Linked DNA regions of Styela clava. The protein of the gene in region 1 binds, or shares a complex with, the protein of each later gene. Links are inferred from orthologs where the notes say so. Each region holds a gene or a part of one and is shown in the gene's direction. Other genes may lie near its edges.

The links.
Region 2: the proteins of protein unc-45 homolog B-like (region 1) and heat shock protein HSP 90-beta-like are in contact, whole or in part, in a crystal structure (PDB 4I2Z), measured with the Caenorhabditis elegans proteins. The link is inferred for Styela clava from reciprocal best matches to the Caenorhabditis elegans genes unc-45 and hsp-90. Residues at the interface, in NP_497205.1 of Caenorhabditis elegans: Arg12, Asn16, Val19, Tyr31, Val48, Arg51, Asn52, Met55, Lys59, Val81, Lys82, Phe85, Arg86, Asn113, Asp114, Ile117; in NP_506626.1 of Caenorhabditis elegans: Ser696, Arg697, Met698, Glu699, Glu700, Val701, Asp702.

The regions. Positions count from the first base shown.
Region 1 is NC_135264.1:16,277,196-16,287,001, reverse strand, and holds the start of protein unc-45 homolog B-like, read left to right. Parts: upstream 1-5,613; 5' UTR 5,614-6,522; coding exon 6,523-6,702; intron 6,703-6,992; coding exon 6,993-7,029; intron 7,030-7,527; coding exon 7,528-7,703; intron 7,704-8,424; coding exon 8,425-8,685; intron 8,686-8,893; coding exon 8,894-9,068; intron 9,069-9,801; coding exon 9,802-9,806. Other genes in the region: thioredoxin domain-containing protein 17-like, read left to right, coding at 5,234-5,611.
Region 2 is NC_135251.1:21,554,271-21,564,667, reverse strand, and holds the start of heat shock protein HSP 90-beta-like, read left to right. Parts: upstream 1-5,528; 5' UTR 5,529-5,552; intron 5,553-10,397. UniProt on the Caenorhabditis elegans protein: Molecular chaperone that promotes the maturation, structural maintenance and proper regulation of specific target proteins involved for instance in cell cycle control and signal transduction. Undergoes a functional cycle that is linked to its ATPase activity.

The DNA.
Region 1 (9,806 bases):
GTATGTAAACGAAAGGTGTTCGTTGTCACGGTATATGTGACGCAACAGACTTAATACTGTGACGTCACACTTACGAGACACTAAAGTCGACAGAAGCATTTTTACTGTGATGTAATAAATTACGTCATCAATAGCACTATTTTTTTGTTAAATGAGGGGGTTGAACAATTATTATGTTCCAATTTTCTTTTTATTTTCACGTGATAGAAATAACTATGTATGTTTTTTTTTATATTCTGCCAGTCACGCTTGATTGACATTTGCTTGAAAAACAGTATACAATATAATGCTCACCGAAGTATCGGATTTCCTGGGCAGAATTTACAAAAATTTAGACATCTAGAAAGTATTCCATCGAATGTTCAGACATGTTTTTCGTCTGTTTAACTCTGAAAGGCATATATATACACTCTGATCATTTACCAGGCGATATTAAACCTTACAATCTTTTATCCAACTTGAAAGCACCCCTTCTATTCAAACATTCATCCATCAAAGAAGATTTTGAAAAACTTGGCGTCTGACGGAACTCAGAAAAAAAAATATATTCACTGAACAGCTACAACATATGTTTTTAACATTGCTCTTTATCCAACTTAACGCAGTATTTTTAAAAACAACTTTTCAACAACAATTTCAAAGTCAGTGCTCACAAATTTAGGACACATATTGTTATATGTATATGGTTTTTTAGAGAAGCCCACGGCTAATTACTGCTCTTTTGTGAAATTGCGATTCAAGATATTTGAATTTAATTTAATTAATAACCGGTTCACAATTCGTACGATTAAGCTGCCTAATTGGCGCTCATGAAGTGTGTGTACCAATATAGAGGTAACTAATTTTGTTTGCATACTTTACATCAAGTTGTGTAAAGGGACTGAAATCTATGGGCATGTGGACTTTGAAAACACAGACAGTCCCCGAACTCGTATCAGAACTAAAAGAAGGAAAATCTAACTCAACCTGGTACACACACTACGGGAATACCCTCTAATCGGCTTTCATCTTTCATCCCCTTAGGTTGATATTTCTCTATTATTTTTACTTGCCCCCAAGTGATGACATCTGATTTTTTTCTTATCCTTGCTCTATATGTCAAGGAATCTTATTTTACCTTATTAATCTGAGTTTCAAGAATTTATGTCTTATTTTTAGCTAAATCGTCTTGTTGTTGTTTTATTGTTATTAATATTATTATCCTTAGTGTGTCCAAGGCACCAAACATATGCGTTAAAATAAAATTTTGTCATTTATTGTTTCGTTGCTATTTTGCGTACCTGATACCAGGCTGTGTAGTCGAGAAAACTTTACATACGACTCTTTACTGCAAGACATTTAAAAACGACTTGCGAATGAGAATGAATTCAACAAATCTGGGTAAACCAAGTTCCTCGTTTCCAAATGATACACGCTGAAATATCCCCATAAAAGATAAATGAAAAAAATATTGTTTTGTTTATATTAAAACTGTTTAGTAGTAGGGAATTCGTAGTTTTGGGTAACTCTATACTCATTCATAAAAACGACAGTTCCAGATACACTGGAATTTAAATAGCTTAATAGCCTAATTCGTATCTGAAGGGTACACATTAGAAATCCCTATTCTTAGTATGTACAAGGGACCAAACATATGAGTTAAAATAAAACTTTATCATTTAGCATTTCTGGGTGTTCGATCCGCAACCATAGGTTATGCCCCTGTGCTCATATAGACCTCAAAAAGACGAGTCTTCAATACCCTTCGGACTTGTATATTAAAAATAATTAACGAATTATCGTGAAGCTGCTGTTTCAAATACTTTGAAAATCGTTAGGCTGAAAATCATTAGCCATAATCTTCAAATACGACCGTTTATTGACTGAACGGATTAAAAATAATCCTAAAATCCACTTTAGGTAGCTTTCGATTTTGAACAAAAACTTAGTACGAACTTATGACCCGACTGCTTAAACATTTTAGCAAGGATTAACTGGATGGAAAAGTATTACAGTGGATAAATATGAACAAAATTGATAGCATCGAATAGATCAAGAAATAAATTAAATGTGAGTTTGTCTGGGGTTTATGTTTTTGTGTAATCGAAATCTCATACTGTTAACGAAAATCCTTCATTTAATTTCTAAAAATTGTAAAAAATTGGAAAAAACATGGAAAATGAGAAGAAGAAGAAAAATTATGTTGGCTCCCTATTCATTACCAATACCTCAGGTAAAATTGAGCTCACGATAGATTTTAATTTCATCGCAGTAAATATTTAATAATGCTCATCTGAACGTCGAGTAGATCCAAAAAGAAATAACTTACAATATTGTACCGAAATTATTATTAGAATACCCGGGTGTGCAATTTATTTTTTCAATACCCCTCAACGATTAAGGCTATATATATGACCAAATTCAATCAGTCAATCCATCAAATCGTTTTTTATTAGCCATCCAGGCAAACGGGCACAACAAAGTTAATTAAAGCAAAATTAAAAATATATACAAATATGCCTTTGCCCAGAATGAACAGGATAACCGTTTTTTAATAGTTAACAATTGAATATCTAACACAATCGACTCGAAATATTATTCATTTAAGTTTTCAAAAGCTTAAATAACCACAGATATGAAGTTCAATATTTTTGATGTGTTCAAGTGTTCGATTTAAATTTAAAAACTGATGATAATATTGTTATAGGAGAATCTTATTGACAAAAACCAAGCTCGAAAATACCCTGCACGGTTGAGACTACACCAAATTGATTTCAGTTTTGAATAACTAGCAGTAAAAATAGGAAAATTAATCAAAAACAAAAACCAAACGTTCTTGACGGTCGTTGCTAAATTCAACACCGCTAACGGAAGCCAAATGCATCAAATAACGCAGTAACCTTCATCGAGTATGCTTAAGGGATTACGGGCTTAGAAAACAAGGGTTGCACTGGAGACGACCTCTTTGTGTACATTTCACTTGGTGGGACTACTTAGCGAAACTGGGGTTAAGAGCGCCATGCATGATTTACTTAAGTAAATAAAGAGTAGACTGTAAAGGTCAGGGGTCAAAGGTTACGGGTAAGATAAACCATGAAATGGCTTCAGACATTAGGGTCAATGCCAAGTTTCTAGCAATGGCGTGACGAGCTTCGGCGCCAAGTTAGGTATCGATTTCAGAATCATTTGCACGTTTGATTTTGAAGTATTTTAGTTTGCCATTTTTTGTCAAAATATGTTCAGAAATGTGATATTGTTCTGCTTTGTGCGAGAAAAGCACATTTCTGATATTTTTTTTATCTACGATCAAAATGTTCAAAATTGCATAGATAGGATTTTCGTGAAGGAGAAAAATGGGCTCTCCAGAAGTGTGTGTACAAATATGAAGGTAAGTAATTTTGTTCGCCTACTTTACGCCTACTTTTAGCAAGTTGTGTAAAGGGACTGAAGCCTATAGACAGGGGGTATATTCACTTAACTAACACAAACAGTACCCGAATTTTTAATAAAACTAAAATATGAAAAATGGGAATAAAATTATTGCCTAACCCTAACCCGGTACACACACTAAGGGAGTCCCGAAAAATGGTGATCGGACAATATAAAAATGCGGCTAATCATATCACGGATCGTGCATGAAAAATAGCTAACTATGTCAAGGTTAAAGATGCTTGCGTACGAATGGCGAAGGAGAGCGTATTTATAGTCAACACTCCATGGCGCCCCGGAATCCAACATCGGCTTATCCATGACAGAAGCCCAACCAAAGCGAACAAACAAATGGTATTTTACCCGGCTAATTCGTATTTATTCTCACAATTTGTTTGTTATATCAGATTTAATATGGAAACTAAAATCAATTAAAAGATAACTGTTTTTTGTTTGTTATATGTACCCACCGTAAAGGCAGCAAATTTCAAGGCCAAACAATCGTTTGCATGTCGTAAATTATTGCATTGATAAAACAACTCATAAACGCCACCATGCGGAAAGTAGTAAATTATATGATAGGTTTTAAAGCTATTGAGGTGTTATATATATACACCTCAATGGTTAAAACCAAATTCCAAATCGAATTTCGTCAAACAAAATGTACTCAAAATAATAAGTTTCCCGATGAATAAACGAATTTCAAGTTTATAGCAAGTATTGTACCAATTTTGTCAGTTTATTGTCATACAGATATATTCTCGAATCTTCAGTTGCTATCAGCTGGTATCTTCGCATTGACAGCTGCGTCTGTGTTTCATCGCATCGGCTATATTGCACTTTATGGTATCGTAAATTGCATCAGAGGAAACTGCGAAAGAAGATGCTGGAAGCCTTTCTATGCGCGTTTGATTTGTCGTGCGAAAATTTGCAATTTTTACGGCCCTTTTCGATAGTGAATTCTTATAAAAGGTCGAAGCTTGATAAGTTTTTATATAGTTAGTTATGAGAAAGGTAGCCGATAGCAGCTCGTACGCATATAATTTTGTATGTTCTTTTCGTAACATATCTTAGATTTACAAATCTTCGACAGTTTTTGATCTTAGAACAACAGTAAAGCGGAAGGGTTTTGTTTTGGTGTTTTTTAGCTTCTACAGATTATCATTGGAATATTAGAATAGTACTGATAGTAGGACCCCCTCAAGTATGCGCACCAAGTAGGCTCACAGCCTGAACTCAGGTTTTGTACCAGGTTGGGGTTCAAGTTGTGTGACATCTTGGTGCCCAACGTCAGAAGTACCGTATAGTGCTCTCGTAGTGAATGGAGGGTTATACTCGCTGCAGTTTGTTACGCATAAGGGCCATTGGGCAAACATTTTGATGGGTAGACTTTGTCTCGATCGGTCGGGGCCGAAGCAATGATGTTCAGATGTTCAGCCACGCTTTACAAGTTAGAACAACTAGTAAATACTAAACTAAAACTAAGGCCGATTAGCGTAATAGAAGGCATAGCTCTTGCCACTAGGATTGGTTCGGAAAAATATAAGCTGATTTAGATGAAATTTTAAGCAAATCAAATGGTGATATTTGACGAAATAGTTTTTTCCCCCGGGTCATATGTCAATCTGTCAGAAAGTTACGTACGATAGTTCGAATAGATTCATATGACGTAGTATAACATACCAAATAAGTATTGTTACGCATGACTGGTTGCAGCTGTTCACGTGCGCAATGTAGTGAAACCAAATTGTTCGTAATTTATCTGTTTTACAATTTTGGGAGTACACGCAGTATTGTCTTATTATTTTGTGCATTTTCTTTGAAAATGGCCAATCAAATTGCTGTTGAAGGATATGAGGCGTTTATGAGTAAAATCTCAGAGCTGGAGGAACAGAAAAAAGAGATTTATTGTCTATTTTCTGGGTCGGTTGACCCGCAAAGTGGAAAAAACTGGTGTCCAGATTGTGTTAAAGCGGACCCTGTGATCGAAAAATGTTTGCCGAATATGCCAGAAGGGGCTGTTTTTGTACATTGTCATGTCGGGCAAAGGGATTACTGGAAAAACAAGACTAATGATTTCAGAGTGCATCCAAAATTGAAGCTGTCAGGGGTGCCAACTTTGTTGAAGTGGGGAGAGCCAAAGAAGCTAGTTGAAGACCAACTATTCAATCCAGATATGATCAACATGATGTTTGAAGACTGAAATCTGGCATCCCTTAATTAAATTGATCAAGAACAATGAGGTTCAATTTTCAAATCTGTTTAATTAAAAGTGCAATTGACTTAACATTATTTGAGAATTTACATCCACTGGCAATAATTTTTGCCCATTTATTCAGTTCAATGCCTTCTTAATTTCCGAGAGAGTGTGTGCAAACTTGCTTTGGGAAAATATTTCAAAAAATTGTGTGCACTTCTATATCTATTCTTACTAATACTGAATACAGTAATAACATGTCATTAAATCCAGTTTTTGATTTAAAAATGTCTTAAAGTTTCATCTGTATCCTAACTCATAACAATTAAAATACTAGTAGCAATCAAATAAGGTTGTTCATGCAATAGCAGTAGCCTACACTCTTGTTTAGATCAAGGTCTTATTCAGTTATATTATAAACTTGCTCTATTCGATGATTATATAAGTTGATAATATGCATAATTTTTCATATTGTATTTAATTCAACTTGCCATCTTTATTGTATGTTAATCTGTTAGTCGTCTCTTGATAACAGTTTTGCCATACCTTTGATTTTACTAATACAATTTTATTAGGTTTGGTGCCACTGGTCGGAATAATCTCATACATACACAATTGAGCCAATGCTGCTAATTCGTCCTGCTGGACAACCCTTTGATATGTTTCAAACTTTGCTTCCTCGAAAAGTGTAAATTCAAAAATAATGCCGTTTTCATATCAAGATGAGATTATTCTGGTCAGTCATGCTACAATGATTACAGCTGAATGCAGGGTTAGAATTGTATTTAAATTTGTCGTTTCATTACGTTATTAATTTGATCATTTGGTATCACACACATTATGCCTTTTATTCTATTGATTTATCATTTAATTTAGATTTCTATTATATTAGTTTTACTTATCAACAACTTTCAAAAATGGCAAATGATATATCGACCAGTGGTCCAGCAGAACTCAAGGAGATGGGTAATAAGCATTTTAAATCCGAGGAATATAAAGAAGCCTTAAAACTTTATACATTGGCGTTATCTCGAGCAGACAAAAAAGCTGATCAACTGCCTTTGTATAAGAACCGTGCTGCATGTCATCTGAAAACAGTAAGGATTCTTACTTTTATAATTTTCAATTGTCTGAAAAACTTTAGTTTGTAAATTTGTAAAGTCTCTGACTTTATGCTTACTTATGTCACTGATCTTGGATTTCCTATGGCCTTGAATCTTGATTTCCTATGGCCGGGAATCTTGATTTCAGAAATATAGTGGATATAGCAATTATACTTATACACACGTTCACACAATTATTGTATCCGCTTATAGAAATAAACCGCTTGGCATGACAACAATTTCTTTCATGATTATTTTATTCAAATTTCAATATATTTTTACAGAAAGATTATCAGGAGGCTTTGAAAGACTCTACCAGTGGTAAGATATCATTTTCATTATTTTAAGCTTCGATTCTAAACTAGCATCATTACTGTTTCGTTTTTATATAATTGCCATGAGTCCGTCGCTTAGTTTTTTGTTCAACTTTCTGATACCAGACTCATCACCACCCAGACTTGATCAGATGATTGGATGACAGACATAGAAATTTATTCAGTCTATCTGATTTTTTCAGATGACAGTTATCTAACTTTATTGAACTATTTTAGCTTACCCATTCGCCTAAAAAAAAGAAGCCTCATCACACCATACTACCAGTTGTGCCATTGAAATCTGCATTATCACCCTCAGCCCTTAGACGATTCTCGATAACATTATCAATTATTATTTATGCATAACACATACACATAACTCATTTAATATGAATATTATCTGATTAAATTAGTAACCTTTTTCTTCCAAGGATAGATATTTAAAAATACTTCCAGTGACCCATCTTATTTCTTGTTAATCTGAAACTTCTTCATTTTAATTCAGCACTGAATATCTGTCCTTCTGATACGAAGGCTTTATTTCGTCGAGTCCAAGCTTTAGAAAACCTGGGCCAACTCAACGCAGCCTATGTAGATGCTCGCAGACTTGTGCAAATGGAACCAAAGAACAAAATGTTTGTTTCAGTTTGTGGAAATTTGAGAACTCTGATGGAGGTTAAGGTTAGTGTAGTCACTTTAGTCGTTTCGATTTGCAGTTTTTTATTTCCAAGGAAAAAATGACTGGCTAAACCTCTACCTGAAATGGACTGGTAACCAGATGAGAGGTCGTGGTTTAGCATATGATTAGGTTGTCTTGTCAGCTTTTCTGTTCTCCAGAAAACATATGTGAATCCTTTGCTTTCCCCAATTTTCCTAATCTTATTATGATGAAGGTTACTTGAATATTGTATATTAAACTGTAAGTCCTGATATATAATGATATTTGAAAGTTACAATTTTTGAAAAACCGAAGTCTTTTTGTTCCGGTATTACTAATTTCTCACACCCTGGTTGGATCTTTTTAAATAGTGGTTCTCAAACTTTCAAGCCCTTTTTTTAGAATTTGTCAAGTCTCGCGACCCACCTCATAAACAACTAGCTAACAATAAGCTACAAATAACAGATAGTAAGGTGAAAGGTTATTCGAAAAACACGTTGAAAATACATGGATGGAACGTAAATAATGAAATAAATGAAAAGTTTTGAAAACAAATAAAGCGGGCAAGATCAAATCTAACAAATATGTTTATTCGTAATTAGCTCTACGCCCCCTCAAAAAATTGTCTACGCCCCTCTTGGGGGGCGTGCCCTACTGTTTGAAAACCACTGTTGTAAAAGATATTTATGCTTCAAGAGACACTGGAGCTAAATGGAAAAAATTTAAATAAAAATAATTTTTTAGATGTTTGAGGAGCGTTCAACAGAAAATCGAGTCAATCAAATGTTCAAGATTTTGTTCGACTCAAGTTTGGAAGACGAAGACAAAAAGAAAAAAGCTGCAGAAAATTTAGTTTTCTTATCGCGAGACGAGGCTGGAGCAGAACGAATATTCCGTGAAGGTGGTCCGAGTGCTCTTGCGGAACTTACAGACTCGAAAAGCAATGATGTGAAGCTGGCCGGAATTAGAACAATGTCGGGACTGTGCAATGGCCACCAGGCTAGGGTAAGTAATTTTGTGCAGGGCTTTGAAGGGAGTTTGATATGCTGTCAGAGCAAGGGCCATAATTTTTTGGAGTTTCAATACAAAAGTGAATGTGCTGTCGAAGGGTATGAGGCGTTTATGAGTAAAATCTCAGAGCTGGAGGAGGGGGTTACGAAAAGCAATAATTTCAAATTTCTAAAAAGCTAAATATTTTATTCACATTTTACAGTCTCTCGTTATTCTCCGAGAAGTTGGAATCGAAAGGATCTGTCATTGTATGGGATCACTAAATGGCAACGATGAGCTTTCTACCGCTGCAATGCATCTTCTTCAATCAATCATCGACGCTTTGCAAGGAGAGGACAAGATAGAACACAGAGGGAAAGAAAATGCTCTCAGAGCTGGTAGGTTGAAAAGATTTATTGACAGGATTAACGCTCACCTATAGAGAGAGTCAATACATCATAAAAATATATATTCAAATATTGAATACCAAATATATTTCAAATTTAAAGTTTAACAATGCATATAGAAGTTATTGTATGTTTAATGAGTTTGACCTTTAAAATGCTATAAAAATGAAGATTAACAACATGTTTTCCTAATATTATATTTATAACTAATTTCTCCTATGTATATTTAATCTCAATGCAGTGCGGGCCGTTGTAGCCTGACAGTTGAAAGCTTTTGCCTTGACTATGTTGTCAGGTTTTGCATTTGGGGTTCAAATTCCATTCCCCCACCCTACTGTGGCCGGGGTATTAAAATTGGTAGACGATGCCGACTGAAAAGATTGTGGTTTTTCAAAATGTTAGAAGCTCCTTATATATTATTAGATATCAGTGGATTTCATGCTTACCCCCCCCCTCTTTAACACTTCTGCACTAGAGCTAAGATCAAGCCCTGGCCTGAAATGTCAATCATTATGTTTGGATCGGGATTCTCTATCGCTGACTTCTTTTTAAATAAATAAATGTTTATAAAAAATATATACTAAAACTATGTGGACTATGTGTGGGAAGAACTCCTAAATAAAATATGAAACTTCGGGTTTGCTTCGGGCTCGGGCCTGCAAATCCAGGTGGGGCTGGAATTCCTCTACCTTACTCATTGTAAATTCTTTGCATTTCTTCTCAGATTTT
Region 2 (10,397 bases), on another chromosome or scaffold:
GCTTTAGGATTCCGTGCCAGATGTAAAAACGCTACTTTAGACATTGTAAACCGCCAAAATTGAGCCATTATATATCATAATTACCGAAGTTAAAACAATTATTCGTGCCCACGATGTACAAGATATTTTAAATGCTCGCATTGATCGTGAATGTATTTTGCTTAACGTGAAAAATTATTATCCATCGAAAAAGCTGGCTCTTTCAACGAGTAGCGTCATCGTTATATATATATCATGTTCCAGAAGCTGCCGTATGGGTATTTTTGATTCCGATTTGTAATGATATGAAAATGTAGATATTTGACTTCATTTCCGCCTTAGTGACACGGAGCGATGTTTACAACTGTTACCTTTTATAATCTCGAGTCTAGTTTATTTTCCATCAAAGACGTAACAGTCAAGCTCCAATATAGTACACAAACATACGTTATTTTACAGTAAAACACGCACACCAGCACATAAATGTTTAACGGTTCCGATCGCCTGATCCGTTAATATGAAATATAATGAGTTTTAATAATGTATTCGCAACATAAATCTCGGTGGCTAAATGGTAATTTAGTTGCGCGATATTGCTAATAATCAGATTACGAGGTTTCGATCTAAATAAATTATAATTAGTATTTCTTAAAACACGTGAGAAACAAATACCAATAATAGAATGAAAACGTTATGTGTTTAGCTCTAATTAGCGCTTAACTCTCCATTAGACACAAATTCAGTTTAATGCTTTTTTTAATTTACAAATTTTGGGCATCAGGTCGCGCATACCTGAAATATCATTAATTAAGGAATACCTCTTTAGCGTGATATCTCCAGATAAAACTCAAGCATAAGTCTCCAAAAAGCCCTAACTAAGTTTTGGGTACAAAGAACAATTAGTTTTAAAATAGCCAATGCAAAATATATTTAAAAAAACGTCTTGGATACAAGAAGTTTATTTCGACTGCACGATAAGTATGGACGACGAAAAATGTTTCGATAAAACAAAATTTGTCTTTTCAAAAACACGGGATTTTGTGCACCGAACAAAACGTCGTGCAAGTATACCGAAACTTCACGGAATAAAGTGTTCTCATGAATAAAAATAAAACAGCAAAATTTAGGGTCAAATATCGGATGCATTAAGACTCCAAGTTAATTGCAAATATAATAAAAGTAATAAGATTTTACAATCCAAGAAATGGAAAGAGCAAGCGTTCAAATGCACTGACCAAGTGGTACGACGCTCAAGGTCCAACGGAGACAACGCGCATCACTGGTAAAGACAAGAGTTCAGGCCCCACCCGGATGCAATGTAATGTTAAACATGTTTCCAATCAACAATGATCAGAGCATAAACTTAGTATTGGAGTTGTCTGGTTGGTGCTAACTGCGAAAACTAGCCTACAACTAGACTACTAGTGTATCCAAGCCGAGATAACTTATAGATTCGGTTTGTTGCAACTTCGAGTATCCAGCTACATATTGAAATATTGATTATACTGGGTGTCCATAAGGACTTGAAATTGTTTAAAATTGCAAAGTGAGTTTATCGATACCAGATATTGTTTTGGCCCTCACAGATGTATTAAATGAAGTAAAAATATCTGAACAATTACCAATTGAAAAACAACAAACCTGATTAAGATATATTGAGAACTGACTAAAAACAAAACTGTAAAGGGCATAACCCTGTATTATTAATGAAGATAAAAAATTAAAAAAAACGTTGGTGCAATATCAAAGCCTCATACGTTATTGATGGAAATAAACGGGAGTCCACATAATATATATTGACTAAGTGTGCTTTTTCAGAGATTTTACGCAACGGTAAAAAATGTTTTTTTCGTGGCTGGGAAACATGTTCAATATTGCCATTCTATACTATTGCTAATCATAGCAGTTGCATCAATGTTATTGTGTTTCATGCAATGGTCGTTTCTGAAACCAAATTTGTTCCTGTTAATAATATTACGCTTATTTATAGGGACTGCCTCAAGCTGGCCCGTAGAAGTTTTTTTATGAAAAATGTTACGCTTATACAACACAGGTGTAACAAGGTACCGTGTTTACCCAAAAAAGAAGACCTAGCCTGAATTTTAAAAATGATTTTATTATAAGCCCTCCCCCATAAAATAAGACCTATATAGTCATGTTTTTTATATTTAAAAATCTCATAATTCTCTACTTTGTAATTTTGTTTTTAATAAATGAAAATAAAAGACACCCCTCCTCCCCCCCAAAAGAAGCTCAGTGTTATTTTTCAAAGAAAAATTGAAATAAGATCGTCTTATTTTTGAGGAAACGCGTATTTGGACCCAAATATAACGACACCACTTTTTTCAAGTGGCTCGAGTAAATGGTGTAAACGATTTCAAGACGGGGTTAATTGAAGGTACAAATAGTTTCCAAGTGTGGGGTATACTCACGTCTGGATTTTCAAACTCGTTTCGATCAAGGAATTATCCAGTCAAATTAAATTCTTTGATTAAACATACCTAACTCATGAAGAATCTCGATATCACTGGCGGTCTTAGTCCTTTTACAGAAACGAATCGCGACCGACTATAGAAAATAGGTTGTAGGGGAAGGTGGGCCACGTTGGGACATGGGGCATAGTGGAAAATCAGCTCTCATACTATATCCGGTCTGCGGTTCGATGTTTGAATCCGCCCTCCGGTGGGTTACAACGTCCCCGTAAACGGACAACGGCCGTGTAGAGCAACGCAAGCTATAAGGTTAAATTGGTTTTGGGGGGTTGAAACTAAAATTTCACCATTCCATTTTTTTCTTTTTTCTACCTCATCCGTTTCAACATGACAAACCACGGACTGATATTTTTTTTAGCTTTAGTCCACTGTAAAATGTTCATAACGTTGGCGAGTGGACGTGCTTTCCTAATATCGCCGTTGGAAAGTCTGACGTATTTGTTTTTCTTTATGGAGAACAATGGAACGGGGTTTAGCGGGACATGCCCCACTGGGCACAATTCGACAGTGTTTGAACCATTAAGTGCTTAGAGGCCTAGAGATGCGTTATGTTTCTTGCGTTATGGAATACATTAAAGAATCAAGTATATTATCGGATTCGAAAAAGGAAATAATTTAATTTGTTTACGGAATTTTTTCGAAAAATATATGAAATATTTTGGTTGAACATTGATTTCAAAAATAATAAATCTACAAAATTGAAGTTCTCCCATTTTTTCCCTGTCCGAATGTGCCCCACAAGTGGAGTACAGTGGGAAACTTGGCAAACATTTTTTAAAGCATTTTGGTGATAAGATGTATGTCTCAAATGTAAAAGAAAAATGTGTCTCAACCTTCCCCACTTTCCACTACACCCCTGTATTGGACGATAGAGACATATGAAGCTCATTCCAATTTTTATTGGTCGCAAATTTTCTTTGATGGGCCATGTCCTTTTTTGCAACTTTTCTTGTCAGAACTCTGGAAGGTGCAATAATATTTTGACTATCGATCACACAAAGTCATTAGATTAAAGTCATTAACGGAAAATTCATTGAGGATCCTGATAGATGGTAAATTATTACGAAAGCCATTTTAGGACCATTTTCTGTGTAATGTATTAAATATTTATATAAACGTTATATTGTTTTCAGAATAGGTTTTGTTGCAAATTCTCCTGAAGTTTTTATTAACTCCCCTATTTCTAATTTTATATACGATGTTCTTAAATTGCCATTGCTGTAACCATTTTTTCTTTGTTTGTTGTTTGCTTTCCTTGTAATTTGTATACATTTCTCACTTTCTTTTATTTATTTTATTATATATCTTAGCAAAATTTCGTTTGCAGTGAATTTTTTAATAATTTACGTATTAGAGTCAAAATCTGTTCACCGTCACTACTATTGCTACAATATTTTTAGCATATGCAGTTATTTTTACACGACTGCTTGAAGAAGACGTTTGTCGCACAACAGACGTTGATGGTATATTTATTTTTGTATCAATTTTTGTGCATTTTTTCATGTGACGTCTGACTGAATAAAAATCCATATTTGTTAGAGCCCACAGAAATTTTTGAAATAAATAAAAATGTTAGCCTTCGGTGACAACAACAATCTCTATTCACTGAACATTTCACAGCAATTAGTCCAGTAGCTCAGTTGAAGAGAAAGGGGTCGCGGCGGTTGAGATTTGGTGAGCAAGCTTAGTGCTATTGTCAAAAACCAACCAAGTCTGTCTAAGTTGGTATTTCGGGACCTAGCTAAAAAAAAAACTGGATTGCGCGGCGTTGAGTCGGCTCTGCGTTTCGTCACTACTGTCACGTGGCCGACGCTTGGAAACAGAGGAGGGTTTTACTAAAATAAAGGCACAAAGCGTTATCCCGGGATCCCAACCCCAGTTGGAATAGCTAAAAAAACTCAAAAACGTTCCTCCATTAGATACAAATATATGCTATTCCGCACGGAATGTATAAGCATAACAGGGTTTGGACCACCCTGGTCTACCTTATCAAAAAAAACTCCCGATTTCGCTGACCACTAGATTGTTGAAATGCGATCGTGGAACCGCCACAGAGTGTAAATAGTTCATTGGTCCAATTGTTGAAGAGAAAAAATTTTTTTTAAAACAAAAATGCAGCAACAAGGAGAATACTAAAATGAAAAAACAACAACAATTTAAATAAACGACTCAAAGGCCCATTTCGTGTAAAAAAAAGTTTCAGTGTGTATTTTTAATAATGTAGGTAATATGACACTTGAAGACGAAAAATAAGCGAACATTTTGAAGTTTAAGTCGTCTGGTGAACTAGTGCTATTTTAATAAACACCGATAAACTATATAAAATTCTGTTCTAAAATTTCTGTGGTGCCCCTCTTTGCTTTGTGCCCTAAGCACGTGCTTATATTGTTTAATGGTTAATCCGGCGCTGCTGAGATGAGCTGAAAAATGGTGCTGCAGAAGTATGTGTACCAATATGGAAGTATCTAATTTTGTACGCCTATTTTACATCAAGTTGTGTGAGACGACCACGTCCACAACTCTGTTCTATTCTTTATGCCCATATTTATTCTTACCACTTGAGTCATTAGAAACGAGTCATTAGTAAGCAATTGAGTATCTTTCCTTTTTTGCTGGTTTGTCAGAGTGCCGGCAGTGTGGAATTTCCTCTGTGTTTTAGGTTATTATTATAGTGTTTTATGACCGTGTATCTATGTAATTCTTGTTGTAGATTGTTAGTAGTACTACAGGTTAGCTGTTTCCCCAGTTTGGCATAGCTCTGAGTCTGTTCACTAGTTACCTTGTATTTAACATTTTCGTAACCAGTCTACGTTCGCAGTTTAGTTCCGGTGTGATATCCGTATTTCTATGTGTATTGCCAGGTATATTAAGTGTTTGTCGGTAAAATAGGATTGGTGTTGTATTTTTAGTGTCATACTAGTTATTCGTATGTATTTCTAGGTATGTTTTGCCTGGTTTTTGTATATTCCATTACAGGTCAATAATTCATGACTGTGACGTCATAGATTAATTCCTATTTTGTGTTCCGTGTATTTTTATTTGTTTATTGTATTTCTTATTGGAGTATTTGGTTGTATTAAGTTCTTTCAGGTGTATAATTAATCTAAATAGTTAAATTAGTTACTTTGCTGCAGTTGGAACCGCAAGAAGGTGATTTACAATCGTCATCTATAGCAATTACAGTGTCCAAGAAGCTGGCAGAAAGAACCTGAGTGGTGATATCAATTTTGGTACGCCACATGTGTAAAGGGACTGAAACCTATGGGCGGGGGGATATTCACTTGGCTAACACAGACAGTCCCTGAGCTCGTACTAAAACTAAAATATATAAGGAAAATCGAAATAAAATTATGGCCTAACCTGGTGGTCTATACACATACTACGGGAGTACCGGAAAAAGCAATAATTCTCGCGACAATCCCCAACTTTAATGTAACCAACATAAACAAAATATTCGTCTTGGCAATGCTTGCGTGCAAACGACCGTGGATGTGGCCTAAGGGCTCATTGCAACAAGATTAGGACGGGCGCATGTTGTTTGAATACTAAATATTCATCATATAATGCCATCCTAGTCACATACAATACCGTAAATACCACGCTATCGCACCCAGTGTAATTTTATTTTTGATGGAAATAGGAGTCCGATTAAGCAAGATATAAAATAAAATTGATCTTGATATTTACGTAAGCAAAAACATATACAAATAACATTAGGTACGTAAAGAAATTAATCACACGTACACAACATCTCATGCAAATAATAAGCTACACACAGAATAAAGAATAAAACTTTGATACAATCTGTCACAAATTTGAAATATCTTTGCACTTCGGATTAAAACCCAACCTCGGGACACCAAAGTTCAATTGCCATGAATGAAGTGCTATGAAAACTGTGTCTTCAACATCAGTTGGTTTGAAAATATAAATCTAGTCCCGCCTCAATATTTCTTTATGGCAGTACCAATTGAAATTATCTCCACACCAATTTATGCGCCGACCGTCCTGAGACTTTCAATATATATAGGCTTACCATACGCCCCGCTTCAGGTGGGACAGTCCCGCTTTTTAGCGTCTTGTCCCGCCTTCCCGACAAGTCAGTCAAAAGTCCCGCTTTGGCGTTCAGCCATCAAGCATAATTACACGAACATTTTCTCGTTACTGTTGTTGCTGTGTAGCGCAAAGATAGCCTACGTACTGAAGGTTAATACGTTATTTTGTTTGTTTCGTTGTTTCCCGCTAACATTGTTAGCGAACGTATCGCGTGTGAAATCAATTCTAATTGGTCCTGTTCGGACGTTCGAACGTGTTTTTGAAGGTGTTATCTACAGAAAAGCATGCTTGGGCGAATAAGTAAATCTCAATGCTTGAAAACGGCAGACTATTTCTTTATTCTTTTTGCTGTACATACAAAAATCTAAATTTGGATCTTTTGTATCGTTAGCGTCTATTCCTTTCTATTTTTTCGAACCCTACCAGATATTTAGACAGAGAATATGCGCATGAACTCTCGATGACAATGCGGTCAATGAAGACAGTCGGGATGGCTTCAAATGTAGGCCTATGTAGTGAAATCGGAAACTGTAAAGTTACAGGATCACAGCTAAAGGATCGTGTCTTTGGGGGCGTCCCGCTTTGAAGTCAAAAAAATATGGTAACCCTATATATATTTATATAGTTTTTCTACACGGTCTCTTCACAATATGGACCAATACGTCTGTCTGCATTGGAACAAATTGGTTTTGTCTGCGGAATTGTAGTCGGCTTGGTTGGCAAGTCAGAAGCAGCAACCTTATTTTGTTTCCACTGGAAAAAAACTTTCAATATTTGCCATCTGTCTTCAAATGTCATGGATATGCAAATGACATTGACAAAAGACATTATGTCTCCCATTGTCGCACGAATTGAAACAGGAAAGTGTTCTGGAATCAATCGTAAATTCATCACACCAATTATAACGTCCGTGATAACAGCAACGAATGCCCAGATAAGAACACGACGAATCGTTTTTTGTACTTCATTAGACTTCGAAGTTCCTGTGTCACAAAACAGTACGATCCATTTCGAGCCATGATATTTTGATTTGTATTCCATGGTGTTCTTGACAACCGCGTAAACAAGCAGGCCAAGAATGGCGATTTGGGCTACGATCAACGGAAGGCGCATGAAAATACGTAGGACTCCGTTATCGATGTTGTTAATATTTAGACAACCTTGTGGTACTGACCGCAAGCGATCAAATATAATCAACTTACTTATTATTATAATCAATTCTGATGGAAGTATCGCAAATATTCCCCAACTTAGGCGAGAGATATAATTTCCTGAAAAGATTCCTTTTTCATAAATTATTCTTTGTCTCACCCATGAAAAGAAATAAATGAGATATGTAATGATGGAGTAATACACTTTTGACACAGTATCGACTGCCTTACATAAAGACGAAGAGTTTGCACCCCGAGTTGCCTGGATTGAAACTTGCGTGGATACCATTTTTTGGATTAGGACGCCTAGAACTAAAGTATAAATAATGTACAACAGTTTTGCAGTGAAAAAACTTGTCGTTTGTTTGTTCTTCCATTTTCCATTATGAATACAGTAGACAACAAAACTTGCTAACATCCAACATGATAGTAAAAAGAGAATTGCTATCACTGCTTGTGATAACGTCAGTGTTATATTGACCACATAATCGTTCGAACCCTCACGGCTGAAGTTAAACGTCGGACTCGGTGCAACTGTTGAATTCATGTCCATAAACGTATGGTTAGTAGCCGATACATTGGAATTCCAACTGCCATTGTTCAGAATCTGATTTGTAGTAACCGTTCTGTTTCCAAAAATCATTTTCATTTTCCAAGTACACGGAGAAAAGATAAATGCCTGATTCAATCACAGGGTGGCAAACAAAATGTTCAATGGAAAACAAATCTTGTACAAGGCTGACAATGCCAGAGGATAAACGACAAGGTAATATATATTATAAAACACCTGCGTTAATTAATAATACATTCGCAACATCTTCTTTCCATCAGTAATTATTGAGCATAACGCCACAGGATAAAAACCTTAATTAAATAGAGTAATTTTGTTCTCAAATTTTCAAAAATCCTTTCATTCTATAATTGACGATTGTTCCTTACATATCATCTGGATTATTAATTATTTATTTAGACTGAAATCTCTTTGTCTGCAATATCATTGTAAAATTTTATCTTTTCTTAAGAGGAAAGCGAAGAAATCAAACACACAAATAATGGGAAACGTTCTCATGAAATACCTAATTTGTTAAGACGGTTTTATTACGGTATAACCGTTAAAATGGGGTTTTATTGTTTCCTCGGGCAGTGGATTTCAACTGGTGTTCCAGTTGAACCACATTCAGTCGTTACGTGTCAAATTGTTATATCACAATTTTTCTGATTGTCATATTTATGGTACTAAATCAGTGCTCTTCAACAGGGGTTCCGCGAAACCCTAGGGTTCCGCAACACATGCAGTGGGTTCCGTGAGTTTATAAGGTTTCTTAGGGGTTCCGCGTTTTTTTTTTTAAGGGGAAAGCATTTCCTGGTTCAGCATGTTGATGCGTCATTATAAATATTCTTAGACCACCGTGTCTCATTTAAACTACAAGTAGGCCAACTTGTTGAATAGGAGGTTTAGTCACAGTGCAGAAAAATATTTTCGGTTGTTGCGTCACTTTAGTCATTGTTATGCAACTAACAAAAAAAGAACGCCATTGTCGCACCATAGTTACATGTTGTTCAGCTTTTGTTGGAATATAGTAAAAATAGTGTGCAACCCGACTTTTTAATACCCTCAAAAACATGAGAAAGAATTTTTTTAGATTTCTCTCCACAAAGCGGATACAGCAATTGCCAAAAAAAGCATCAAAACTTCTGTGTCAATTTCCTAATACCTATTTGTGTGAATCAGCATTTTCTGCTTTAACAACTATTAAAAACAAAATAATTTGTGCAAAGAGTGTAGACATGAGTATATGAGAATTGCATTGAGCGCCGTGGAGCCACGATTCAAGAAGATTGCAAAGGAAATGCAAGAACAACCTAGTCATCGAATTTCACGCTTGTTACTCTCTTTCTGTTTCGTTGTTGAAATAGAAATATTTGAATTACAAATATTTCGTGTTACGAGTATTTCGTATTTTTTTTTTTTTCAATTGTGTTAATTGGGGTTCCATAAAAAACGAAAAATTATTTCAGGGGTTCCGCAATAACAAAAAGGTTGAAGAGCACTGTACTAAATAGAAATGATCTGGGAACGTATTGAATTAGATGATTTTGTTGTTTATTAATAAGAATAAATAGAAGACTTGGCCCCAACGAAGCATGCCCATATATTTCATCAGTGGCGGCGCGTCAATAGGGCCAACCGGGGCAATGCCCCGGTTGTTTTTTCGGTATAATAAAAAATATTCGAAAAATACCTCAATATCGGTTGCACAGACTGTCTACACTAGCCATATTCTCCCGACATGGTTCATTTTTCGCTCGCAAAGCCTTCGCCGAACGTTGACGGGGCGACGCCGATTTTGCCCCGGTTGCTCATTGTATATCGTATTCACTCTTTTATCTTCCACTCGCCGCGTTTGTCTCGTTTGTTTTCTGTTTCTTTTACTAAATCATCGGGGCCGATCGGGGCTAGCCCCGAAATTATGACGACACAATGCCGTTTCTTACAACAACGTGTTGACATATTCACGCATTCCTTCTCGTTCGTTGGTTGCCCAAAGAGTTGATAGTTTCCGCCGCACGAATTGATTTCCACTTTAGTCATTGTTATGCAACTAACAAAAAAAGAACGCCATTGTCGCACCATAGTTACATGTTGTTCAGCTTTTGTTGGAATATAGTAAAAATAGTGTGCAACCCGACTTTTTAATACCCTCAAAAACATGAGAAA